3 linked regions of the Solanum lycopersicum genome follow. Each later gene encodes a partner of the first gene's protein in a complex. Links are inferred from orthologs where the notes say so. Each region holds a gene or a part of one and is shown on either strand. Other genes may lie near its edges.

Region 1 (3,582 bases):
ATTGAGAACAGAGAGTCAGAGTTGAAGGAGAAGTATGAGAAGGAGCTTCAGAAGCATGTTGACAAAGCTACCTCCCAGGTTAATGCAGTACTGGCAAAAGCAGATGAGCAGGCTACGATGATTAAATCACTTCATGCATCTGTGGCGATGTACAAAAAGCTCTTTGAAGAGCATACAGTTGTTTCTTCTGATGCTCAATCTGAAAAATTAGCAGAGGTTCAAAGGCCGGAAGTGATGCTTTTACCTGATTCTTCACATGAAGTTTTAGGGAGAGCACAAGAACGGGCTTTTGAGCGTGTAAAATGTCTTGAAGAAGAGTTGTCAAGATTACGGGGCGAGATTATTTCTCTTCGATCAGAGCGGGATAAGTCAGCTCTGGAAGCACAGTTTGCTCGAGATAAACTTGACAGGTATATGAAAGATTTTGAGCACCAGAAAGAGGAGCATAATGGTGTGATCACGAGAAATGTTGAGTTCTCACAGTTGGTAGTTGACTATCAGAAGAAGCTGCGAGAAAGTTACGAGTCATTGAATGCTGCTGAGGAACTTTCTCAAAAGCTGAAACTGGAGGTGTCTATTCTAAAGGATGAAAAGGGTATGCTGGTAAATGCCGAAAAGAGAGCTTCAGATGAAGTACGTAATTTGTCACAAAGGGTGCATAGTTTGCAGGTCCATTTAGATACATTGCAGAGTACTGAGAACGTTCGTGACGAGGCAAGAGCTGCTGAGAGGAGAAAGCAAGAAGAGTATATCAAGCTTATTGAGAAAGAATGGGCTGAAGCTAAGAAAGAATTGCAAGAACAGCGTGATAATGTTCGAAACCTTATACCTGAGCGAGAAGATGCTCTAAAGAATGCATTGAGACAAATTGAGGAAATGAGGAAGGAAATGACTAGCACTTCACATTCTGTAGCTGCTGCTGAAGCTAGAGTTGTTGTTGCTGAAGCGCGATCTGCTGATTTAGAGGAAAAATTGCAAGCTTTTCAAAAAAAGGTTTCTGAAAGAGCTGATGAAGGCGGTCCTTCCTCTTCTACTGAACTTTTTGACAACATGGATTCTGCTGAAGAAGTTAAAAGACTCAGAGAGGAGGTGCAGGTTAACAAAAATCATATGCTGCAATATAAAAGCATAGCTCAGGCAAATGAAGAAGCATTAAAGCAGATGGAATTGGCTTATGAGAACCTCAAAGTAGAAGCTGATAGAGTGAAAAAATCAATGGAAGAGGAAGCATTAGCGCTTAGGAAGAATGTTGATGAGCTTGAGAGAGAATGTAATTTGAAGTCAATTGAAGCAGCTTCCGCAACTGCAGGAAAAGAAGAAGCTGTTGTTGCTGCTCTAGCTGAAATATCCAGTCTGAAAGAAGATACCTCAGCTAAGACGTCACAAATCTCAAATTTGGAGGCTCAAATATCTGCTTTGAAAGATGATTTGGACAAAGAGCATCAAAGATGGCGTGCTGCTCAAGATAATTATGAGAGACAGGTAATTCTGCAGTCAGAAACAATTCAAGAACTGACTAGAACATCTCAAGCTTTGGCAACCTTACAAGAAGAGTCATCTGAGCTCCGTAAATTGTCAGATGTTCTAAAATCCGAAAATAATGCATTGAAGGCCAAGTGGGAGGCGGAATTGTCGGTGCTAGAAGTATCAAAAACTGAAGCTGAGAAGAAATACACTGAGGCTAATGAACAGAACAAAATATTACTGGACCGGCTTGAGGGTTTGTATATTAAACTGGCTGAGAAGGACCGTGTATCTTCAGGTGTATCTGCTGGAAGCACAGTGGCCGAGGGTGATGACGGGCTGATGAATGTTGTGAATTATCTAAGACGGTCCAAGGAAATTGCAGAAACAGAAATTTCTTTGCTCAGACAGGAAAAACTTAGGTTGCAATCACAGCTTGAGAATGCTCTGAGGAGAGTGGAGGTAGCAGAAGCATCTCTTAATTCTGAGCGGGAGAGTTCAAGAGCTCAGGTTTTAAGTGAAGAGGAGTTCAAAACACTGCAGCTTCAGGTTAGAGAATTGAACTTACTTCGTGAAAGCAACTTGCAGTTGAGAGAGGAGAACAAGCACAATGTTGAAGAATGCCAGAAACTTCGCCAAGCTGCCCAGAAGATGAAAACTGAATTAGAGGATCTGGAGAAGCTTCTTAATGAAAGACAAGCTGATGTAGAAGCTTGTAGGAAAGAGATTGAAATGCTGAAGCTGGATAAAGAGAAGCTTGAGAGGAGGGTTAGTGAGTTGGTTGAGAGGTATAAGAATTTTGACCTAGAAGAATATGCAAGTCTAAAAGAAGCTGCTTCACAGATGCAGGTGAATCTGAGAGAAAAAAATGAAGAACTGGAGAAAGTTAAGAAAGCCATGTCTGAGCAGCAGAATCTGTTAGCTGACTTAGAGCAAGACCTGTCAAGGAGCAGAACAGAATTGAGTCAGAGAGAATCGAGAATCAATGAGATTCTGCAAACTGAGGCCTCGCTGAGATCCGACGTTGATAAACATAAAAAGTTGACAGGTCTAATGAAGAAAAGGGTTGAAAGCAACTTGTTGAAGGAAAAGGAAAGAGCAGACAGCTTATCAAAGGAAAAAGATGATTTGGCTAGAGAGAATCAAGCTCTCTCCAAACAGTTGGAAGATGCTAAACAAGGGAAAAAAACTGCTGATGCTGCAGATGAACAGGCTTTGAAAGATAAAGAAAAGGAGAAAAACACCAGAATCCAGGGGCTTGAGAAGATCACAGACCGACTTAGAGAAGAGTTGAAACAAGAGAGATCAAAGCGCTTGAAGATGCAAAAGACAATAGGGGATTCCTATGGAGCTGTGAATCAGCAACGGTCCAAGCTATCAGATGAAATCGACAAGCATAAGCAGGCTCTGAAGATGCTTACTGATGAAGTTGAGAAGATAAGGCAAACCAAAGGCAGTCAAACGGAGGGCACGTCAGTGGATCAACTACTTTCGGGGACTCACTTGGACGATTTTACTGCTGCATATCTTCAGGCTGTAGATGACTTTGAACGGGTTGCACGTAATGAGCTCGGGGTTTCTGGTGCTGGTGATGCTTCTGCTCCAGATGCTTCTCTTTCTGCCTCTGTTGTTCCAGGCCCAGCAGCTACGCTTCCGCCACCAGCTAGCTTGGTGACTTCCATTCCTGCAGTTGGAAAAGCAGAAGAAGAAAGAAGACTTGTTTTATCGAAGATAACCTCCGAAACTCGTAAAACCGGAAGGAAGTTGGTTCGACCACGCATCACAAAGCCGGAGGAACCTTTAGTTGATGTAGAGATGCAAGATACAGATGAATCCACCAACAGTAGGAAGCATTTGCCACCTCAAAAGGCAGAAAATCTTGATAATGCCACATTACCAACTCAACCACCAATTCGCAAGCGCCTATCTGCAGCCTCTACCTCCTCTACCTCAGAGTTACAAGAAGAGACTCCTGCCATGGATGAAACCTGCTTAGATGTGGCTCAACCTGTGCTTAAGAAGTCCAAACATCTAGAGGCACCTCAAGAGGGCGGTGAAGATAAATCTGTTGATAATGTAGAAAATTCAGAATCTCTGCCTACTACGGAGGAACATGAT
Region 2 (4,764 bases), on another chromosome or scaffold:
CTTGGTAAGGTCAGGTCAGACCAGCAGTCGCAGCTGCGGAGACCAACACAGGGTTAGCGGACTTCTAAAAAGAGGCTAAAATTAAGCTCAGAGCCCTATTACTGTAAAATATACAGTTAAGTAACAGCAAATGTCAAAAGCAAAGAAGCCCTAATCTAGTTCTGATAAATTTATCAGAACTAGATGCTGAGTTAACATAGAAAATGAATACTTGAATTGCTTGAGGAATGTAAAGTTCCCCAGCCAAATACAATTCAATTTAGTGTAAGCAGAATTACTTATGGGAAGGTAAAAAGCTACACAAGGGTTGCTTGGTAGAGTATCAGAATCAAGAAAGAACGAAAAGTCACGACACTTCTAGATTATAGTAGAGGTATTGTAATGAAGGATTTGTCACTATTTTCATTCACAGCAATAAAGACGATATATAACTCGTATTTCAGCAACATTTACAAACGAATGTCAGCAGTTAGCAAGAAAATCGTACTCGTATCAAAATAAAAAAACTATAATATTCAATATACACATAGAATAAAACAAAACCAAAAAGTTGAAGCAACAAAGAAATGAGCATCAGTAAAAGGGGGAGAAAGGATAAGTTGGTTGGAGAGGAAGATAAAAGAACAGGAAAAAAGGGTAAAAGTTCAGAATAAATTCTACAAGGGGGTGAAGGAAAGTAAAATAATGAAGAAGAAAGGGAGATCTTGTTTTGGTGCAGTTTAGCGGTGGCAAGTAAGTGTTAACTGACACTAGAAATCATGGTACTCCTACAACATAACCGAGAACAATAGAACACCAAATAGGCTCTTAAGACAGTATGTATACAAGCATGTACAACAGAAGCTGAACATGATGACATGTTTATAGGTATATGACATACCTGATAGAGAATGTGCATCCAATTAGCATCTCGGGGGCCCAGAATGTGTTTCAAAATGACACCACATTTCTCAAATTCCCGTAAAACTGAATTGGTGTCAATTGGGGAAAACCTGCACGTAACAATCAAAAGGTAAATGATAAATAAAAGACCAAAAATAAGGGAAAATGGCCAGCAAAATGTGAGAAGTACGGATATTAGGGTCCCTATATAACAACTCAAAGAGACTGAAAGGAACACAGATCATAAAAGTAATAACCTCAGCACATCAAGAGAGACTCAAAACAAAAGCAAGAATGCATCAATACTCCTCTTATTTTTCAAACACAGCTATCACATGAAAGGATGACAAAAGCAAGTTATTGCATAAAAATAACGTTCCACTTTGTTCTCCATGTTCTTTCACGTCGACATTTCTTTGTCTTTTAAGGCCTATTTTAGATGGAGCGGTATTGTCAGGTCATCCAATTTCATATCATTTTCACTTGCTCAGATTTACTTCACAAAAAATGGATTTGAAATAAAAACACAAATCACATGCCTTGTAAGCCTTCACTTAGATTAATATCAAATGAGTCAAAAAACATTTGATAGGACGTATTCTAAATTCAAACCTTCAAATTTATAATACTTGTGAATTTGGACCCCCTAAAATCTAAATTTCTCCATCCAGAGGGAACCTTAGATTATGACTTGGCTAACCTCAAAGGATATCCTCAAGACCCTGCCATGAAAAATAACACAGATAACATCTGATTCTAGTTGAAAGTAATAACTCTACTGAAGGAACAGAAAGTAAAGGAAAAGAAAAAGGAATATATGATAACCATGGGTGGTTAGCAACACATTTTACAATGCAACAGCTTGAACTAGAAGTTACCCTAATGAGCTAACAGCAAAAAAAAGAATATCATGCAGCATCAAGGAGTTCTAATACACCTACTACTATCAGGAACATAAGTGGAAGGGCATAGAATAAAGTATGAAAGATATAGGCATACCCATAAACTGTGACCCATTCTTCCTCATTAAGGTTTCCCACAGGGATTGAGTTCTTCCTGATCTCTGGCCTTGCAACTTCCCTTGGTGGAGGTAAGGTTATCAAAGCACCAGGATGTACGACGCCTTCTACTGGCGAACCTTTGTCCTTGTCATCCTGCTCAGCACTACCACTACCCTTTGCAGGTGACCACCATGTCAAACTTGGCAAGGGGCTTTGTTTACTCTGTTGCTGCTGCTTACCCATCAGTGCATATGAAGTACTTGCCTCAGACTTACTCTTAGGTGTTGAAAATTCCCGTCCTGAATTAAGCACCGGCGTTCTAGGGTCCGACTTGATTTCTGGCGAAGTAATATATTCAGGAATCCCCGATTCCGGAGAGACATCCGATCGATCTTCAAGGGTAAATACAGGCGGTGGTGGCAGATCTGAACTGGCAAAATTCTCACGCCATAAAGCAGAAACAGCTGCTGCCTGACCTGGTGTATTGAATTTCGACCCAGATTTCCGGGAAGAAATAGGTGTAGCTAAATCCTGGAAGAACAGTGATTGTCTTCCAGTTTTCGGGGTTCGCACTGCTGTACTCATTCTCTCTCTCAGCCCTAATGATATAATCAAATTCTCAGAGATTGAACATTAACTAACGAAGCTACCGGATATGCTAGTACATATAAATAACCTATCTGAGAAAAAAACGAAGTACATTCAATTTGTGCCATGAAACTAATGAATTAAATTGTTAAAACATTTCAATAGATTGATTACGCAGACAGAAAGGAGAATACCTGGATGTATTGGAAGACGAAGAACTGAGATTTGAAAATGGGGGGTTTAGGTTGCAGAGCGCGAGAGCGAAAAACCCTAGAATTATAATACTGTGTGAATGAATTCAAATAAAGGCCAGCGGTGGCTTTCAACCAAATGACACTTACTGTCCTTTGGGTTGAACACTGAACTAAAATGTGCCCGGGCTTTTTGGTCCAATATTAATACAGAGGTAATTAAGCCTTTTCTTGTTTTCTTGTATATACGTAACAATGCGGCTCCTTTCCATTTTTATTTGTCGCCAATTTTCTCAAGAGCTAGTATTTATTAATGATATATCGATAAGTTAGATTTTAATTAATTAAAATATATTCAAATTCATAATTTAGATGATAAATATATTATTATATTAATTAATGAAGATATATTTCTAACTATTTTCTTCGAGTTCGATTGTTTCTCTCTTTTCTCCCTGTTCCCTCCAAAATCTTCTTTGCTTTATTTATTACTTTCAGAATATTTCATTTCATGACCTACACAATTACTTCAAGGTGGATGATTAACATCATAAATTACGACACTTCAGTTGTTCTCTACTACGTTTAGCCTCCATTTCTTTACAAATAAAGATCGCGACAAATCTGAAGGGAAAGTTCGGACTAATATTTATAAATTTTCAAGTATTGGTAAAGTTTTCTATCATCTAATGTTGTAGTCGATTTGTAAATGTCGAGTTTTCCTTAATGTGGTCAGCCAATTGGGATCGTCATGGTTGGGATTTACACAAGGGGTTTAGCGAATGTTGGCGTAATTGAAATTTGAATTAATTAATTAAACGACAACAAAAAATTTTTTGGGAGGGAATAGGGAGAAAAGAGAGAAATAATAGGACTATTTTAATTGATATAATAATATATTTATTATTTAAATCATGATTGTATTTCAATAAATTAAATCTTAGCCATTAAATCTAACTTGTGTCATATGTCATTAGTCAAAGCTAGAACTAAGGAAAAATAGGGACAATAAAAATGGAAAAGAGTCGATCCTACGTCTATCAAGCAATTTTGTACAACATCCTTAAAGCCCTAAAAACATCAAATAATCCATTTCTCCAAAATTCTCTCACAACATCTAATGTCTTAATGTTAAAATTTGGGTGAAATTTCACGATGTGTTTGATTATAATATTTAAAAGACGTATTTTATTTTTATCGAAAATATGATTTATACACATAAATTTTAAAAACTATCAAAACTAACAATAGGTTTGTATTATGAGTCAATTGGATCTTGTTGCAACATAAAATAAGTAATTTCCATCACACTGAAACAATATAATAATTTAGAGTAAATGCAAAAATATCATTTCATTCATCATAAAATAAATAAATCACATAACTTTATCACCCTGAACCTATTGTTCATCTTTATTATGATTAAGCTACTAGTGGGAAAATTGTTGTGGTTAAGCTACTAGAGGGGAAAATGCTATATTCTTAAAAAAAAATTAGCGGAAATAGTGGGAACATGCTACAAAAAATAAATAAATGAGTAAAAAAATAAATACACGAAAACACTATGAACCCTTTACACTAGAATACCGATGAATAATATAACGTTACTCTAGCAGAAATGTCAGATTCGAGCTGTTGAAATGAAGAAAAAAAACCTAATATTAAATCTTTCCATTTCATTATGCGTCTTAAGTGATTACATGATGTGAATCTAAATTAGTTTGACTCCAAAATAAATAAAAAACAATTACATGATGTGAATCTGAATTAGTTAGACTCCAAAACAAATAAAATAAAATTACATCGGTAAATAAGTAAACAAGGAGAAGATGACGTGTTTATTTGTATATAACAGAGGAAGTTAGGAATCAAAAGGGAGCAGAGAGTGGTTCCTTGAACTTAGATTGGTCAGGCGAGTCGTCAGTTATCGCCGACGGGTACGCACATTGACAGGAAGCCTCGATCACCACATTTGTTTTCCCAAGGCAATCTTCTTCTACAACAGATTCTGCTTCCTCAATTACCACTAAACCTTCCTTTATTTGAACAACTCCCTTTACTCCCTATATATCGTCACACATTCAAAAGAAAAAAAGAAAACT
Region 3 (4,707 bases), on another chromosome or scaffold:
CTACAAGTTTTATTTAGGCTTTAACCTTGTTTCTGTGAATTGTCAAAACCTGCTTATTATAATGAAAAAAATGCTGCAATAATTCTTTTTAAAGATAAATATTCCGTACAGAAATCATGGTTTCGAGTTAAATATTTGTTAGTAGTAGTAGTTCGTTATAATTTCAGTAGATGTTTGGTTGATTTGATACGAAGTTTCAAAAAGTATATGAGGATTCCGAATTTGTGGTCTTATGATGTATTAACATGTTCTTTTAATTTTTTTCTCTCTTAAACAATTATTAGGTGGAAAGTTCCAATTAATGAATTGAAAAGAAATATGTATTAATTTAAAATAAACTGTAAAGGGAAGTGAAATAAATTAGGTAACATGTTAAAAGTATTCCAGACGTTTAGCGTTTAAAAAAAATCGTTTTGAGTTAAAAGATTTTAGATAATGATCGTGAAAAACTGGTGTTATAATAACATGCAGTATTTTCACTCACTAATTGAAGTGTAAAGTGCGATGCATACATATAAGATATTCGTTTTTAAGTATGCTTCACCATAATCGCAGCATAAATTTAGTGTGTTTTATGTATTTTTTCTTAAGATAATATCAAAACTTGAATTAATAGGATTTGAATTTGACAATATTTCGTTGTAAGTTTTCTTCTACGATAATTGATAAATGGACTTTTACTTTTCAAATCTATGTACAAGTTTGATCATAATGTACATTCATTGGAGAAACAAAAACAATGACAAAAAAAGAAGAAGATGATAATGGCTAAAGCAGTATTAATCAATTATGAGCTGGTTGGGTAACAATCATATACAGTATTATTTTTCTTATTGATCTTCAAGCGATGTTGGTTAAAAATCAAAATATTCTATCAATCAAAGGCGCTGAGGTAGATTTCTATGTTCACGTGGAGTATACATGTATTCATTAACTTCGCATGACATCATGTATATTATGTTAGTCCATCTCGAGAAATTAAAAAAATAAAACTAAATATAGTTATCAATATCCTCGTAAAAAGCATGAAATGGTGCTTTATACTGCTAGCACAAGTTAAAAGATCCGCCGATGCGATCAGAGTTTTGTCAAATTTCTTTTTTTTAGCTTAATATTAGTGTATTTAGACTTTCCAAATCTTGGATTCGCTTCTCGAACTATGTAGTGTAATTGTTATAATATGTTCGAATTAATGATATTATATACACATATGCACATATATATTATAAAATTGGCTATTCACATTTTTTTATACAAGGAAACCCGCAATAACTAACATGTTTGAATTGATTTATTTTAAACATTTTAAAATATAGAGTTCAAATAAAAAGAAATATACTTTTAAATAATCATTTTTAAGTTCTAAAAAATACAAATAAGTTAAAGAAATTAAATTTCCTCTAACTTGTGAGTATGACAGTAGTCGGATCCTTAATCGGATACAAATAGTTTCATGTTAAACGGGCGGGCGGGTCTAAGCCCATTAACCGAACCGTCAATAATTAGCGTTGTTTAAAAGCTACGTTGCCTATTTGTATGATGCAGCGACCTTCTGATAGGGCTTTTTCCGACCAAAACACACACTCTAACTCCGCCGAAGTTGTACAAACGCTAGCTTCCGGCGACCTTTTCAGGTGATATTTCTGCTGCTTTCAGATCGAAAACGAGCAGCTAGTCGTCCGTCGGCCGGCAACATCTTCCTTGTACATCTCAGGTAGCGCCTTTAACCCTAGCTGTTACGATTCCGATTTCTATTCGGTTTCTCCATTACTTTATCAATTAATGTGATATTTTTAGAGGAACTTTCAAAAATAACAAAGATTTGAAACATAATGAGGCAACAATAACTGTAGTTTGCTAAATACATAGTTTACATGTTAGAGGGAGGGGAGGAGAGGAGAGAAGAGACGCGGATTGTATTTGTATGTACGTTGGACAATTGTATATAAGTAACTAGTATGTGTATGTATCAATGACTGTTTTTGTGTACATGTGATTAGTATGTATATGTATCAATAAATACAATAGTATTAATGAATACAATTTGTATCCATGAATAAGTTGTGTACAATTATATTAATTATTTTCCCATATTTTTATGGCCGAGGCTTATATATGTGGAAATCTATTTCTGAATGTGGATTTCTGTACATCCATTATCAAGCTATTGGTGACTTCATTCAACCAGGGACTTCTAAAGAGTAAGGATGATTGGCTTTGCATAGCCGAGATTAGCAAGCATACAGCAACCTAAATAAGAATATAACTTTTGTTGCAAGTTGCAACCTTTTTGATTGATATTTTTGGGGCTTATAGATTTAAATCAAGCATTTAGTAGTTGGTCATCAACACCTCCCCTTGGCATATTACGTAGAGCCTTCACCCTAGCGCGTTAGGTTTTTTATTTCTGATTTTGTTTCTGTTTCCTATACCTTATTCACATTCCACCCTAATGTATACAATATGCTTGTATGGATAATTTGACATATTCAGTTTTTTTTTGCCTTAATTGAGGGGGGAAATCAAGTCCAAAGTTGTACTTCTGCACATAGATGCAGTGTTGTCATTTAAGCACTGTTTTTACATTGATTTACGTGACGTTTTCAAGTTTTACTTTCTTAATAATGGATCTTCTTATTCTTTCCTTGTTTATTAATTTTGCAGCATAATGCATATACCTAGTGCATAGGATTTTTTTCATTCATTGAGGCATTATATGTAAGTGGAAACAGTCTTCTTTACTTCCGTTTCATTGAATTTTCTTTAGACGTATATTTCTACTTCAACAACCAATTGAGAATGATCTGCGCGTTCTGTCCTTTTTGTAGCTTAACTTGGACACTCCAACAACTGCTGGGAAAGATTTGACTATCCAACCATGTTTGGGTCCACGAATGGTAAGTACTTGCAGCTGTCTCAACATCTTTTTTATACTTGAGAAATCTATTCCCCCCTCTCCCCCCTTTACTTCTAATGAAGATAGTTATGACTCGTAGCTTTACTTACATTTTCGTTGAAACTGATACTCCTAACCAGAAATAAAGGATTAAAAAGGACTTGCCCATTCTTATTTTCAATAGCTGCTCTTTTCCACAGTGCACCCGCTCATCTTTCCATTAATTTGCTTCATTTCATAGAAACTATGCCTTTTTTATTTCGATTTGTGTAGTATTTTCTGAAATTTTCTCGTCTATGGTACAATTGTTAGTCTTCATTTTCCTCTTATCGTATACAGTGAGGATGTTCACTGCTGACTGCTTTCTGTTTGTTTCAGCTTTCGGGCAGTCATCTTCTAGCCCATTTGGGTCACAATCAGGTTTCGGGCAGACAAGTAATAACCCATTTGCTCCAAAACCTTTTGGCAGTACAAATCCATTTGGTTCTCAATCAGGTGCTTCCTTTTTTGGTAGCACTTCCACTGGAGTGTTTGGAACCCCCCAATCTTCTTCACCTCTGGGGTCTACATCAGTTTTTGGTGCATCATCCTCACCTGCATTTGGAGCTTCTACTACCACTTTTGGCAGTTCATCACCAGCATTTGGGAGTAAGTATTTGTCTCTTCAAGCTTCATTACATAATTGTGTTATATATATATTTTTTCAGAATGCAATCAATGCTTCATCTCTACAAGCTTCCTTACATAATTGTATTTTAGATGTCTTTTTTCAGAATGCATTCAATGCTTTATTGTATTTTATAGTATTGCTTACACCAAATGTGTTGATACCATTCATCATGATTCTGGGTTTACATCTCAGTGGCCCATGAGGTGGATAGTTAATGATCATTTATTATGCATGTGTCAATGACATTAGGGCTGGCTCACCATTATCAGTTACCACCACTCACCCCCACAATTACCATCCTCAACAGTCGCAACCACCACCGCGACCACAGTGCCAATTATTACAATCAACTATCATCGCTGTTAGACAACTACCAATCATCACTAGCCGCCACCATTATATATAAGACAGCCTCCATAATGATTCGCAACCATCATTTCCTATCACTATCATTCACCACCACCAACTATCTTTATCAACCACCACTTCCAGCCACAACTAACTCCTACCTCTAACACCTCCAGTAGCCAACACCATCCTTCATTGACACCCACAACTACCACCGCTAGCCAGCACTACCAACCATCTTTGATTTTTAAAAATATTGTATTGATTTAGCGCTAGATTGATTTGGTATTTCATTAAATTTTATATTAACTTATTTTTAAATGATTTTGTAAAACAAACAAACTTAATTATTTAGCATTCAAGTCTTAATACAACGATAGAAAATATAACAAACCCAGTATAAGATGTATGTAGCCTTACCCCTATCTTTAAGGTGTAGAGAAGTTGTTTACTCGAACCTCATCAACCGTCCTCCTTTATCGGGGCTTAAGATCATCAATGTAAGCGAGCTCACACAAGCGGAGTTATATTCAGATGTTGACAACGAAGTCTTTTTGTTTAGTGTATTCAGATTCTAACATCTTTGTCTTGATCAAAAACCAAATGCTAAGTAGTAAGTACCAATGCCTGCATAAAGCTCAAGTGTATTATTTGTCTATTCAAATGAATTTGTGTTGTTATTCTCTTACATGATTATTAATGATATTTCCTATTTAAACCTTGTATCTGGAAATATTTTATATATTACGGAGAAATATGCTGTTTCGAGCTTCAAAACATGGTAAATACTGGG

What was found.
Region 2: nuclear-pore anchor (region 1) and nuclear pore complex protein NUP35 share a complex: the UniProt entries of both Arabidopsis thaliana proteins name them as parts of the nuclear pore complex. The link is inferred for Solanum lycopersicum from reciprocal best matches to the Arabidopsis thaliana genes NUA and AT3G16310.
Region 3: nuclear-pore anchor (region 1) and nuclear pore complex protein NUP98A share a complex: the UniProt entries of both Arabidopsis thaliana proteins name them as parts of the nuclear pore complex. The link is inferred for Solanum lycopersicum from reciprocal best matches to the Arabidopsis thaliana genes NUA and AT1G10390.

The regions. Positions count from the first base shown.
Region 1 is NC_090805.1:38,986,037-38,989,618, forward strand, and holds part of nuclear-pore anchor, read left to right. Parts: coding exon 1-3,582. UniProt on the Arabidopsis thaliana protein: Component of the nuclear pore complex. Acts as a docking site for activities required for desumoylation and mRNA export. Required for the proper expression or localization of a subset of miRNAs.
Region 2 is NC_090802.1:65,951,966-65,956,729, forward strand, and holds the start of nuclear pore complex protein NUP35, read right to left. Parts: upstream 2,943-4,764; 5' UTR 2,666-2,942; intron 2,564-2,665; exon of another isoform or gene 2,483-2,563; 5' UTR 2,469-2,482; coding exon 1,882-2,468; intron 993-1,881; coding exon 881-992; intron 1-880. Other genes in the region: uncharacterized protein, read right to left, coding at 4,531-4,725.
Region 3 is NC_090803.1:1,582,892-1,587,598, forward strand, and holds the start of nuclear pore complex protein NUP98A, read left to right. Parts: upstream 1-1,528; 5' UTR 1,529-1,714; intron 1,715-2,664; 5' UTR 2,665-2,718; intron 2,719-2,828; 5' UTR 2,829-2,878; coding exon 2,879-2,897; intron 2,898-3,274; coding exon 3,275-3,544; intron 3,545-4,707.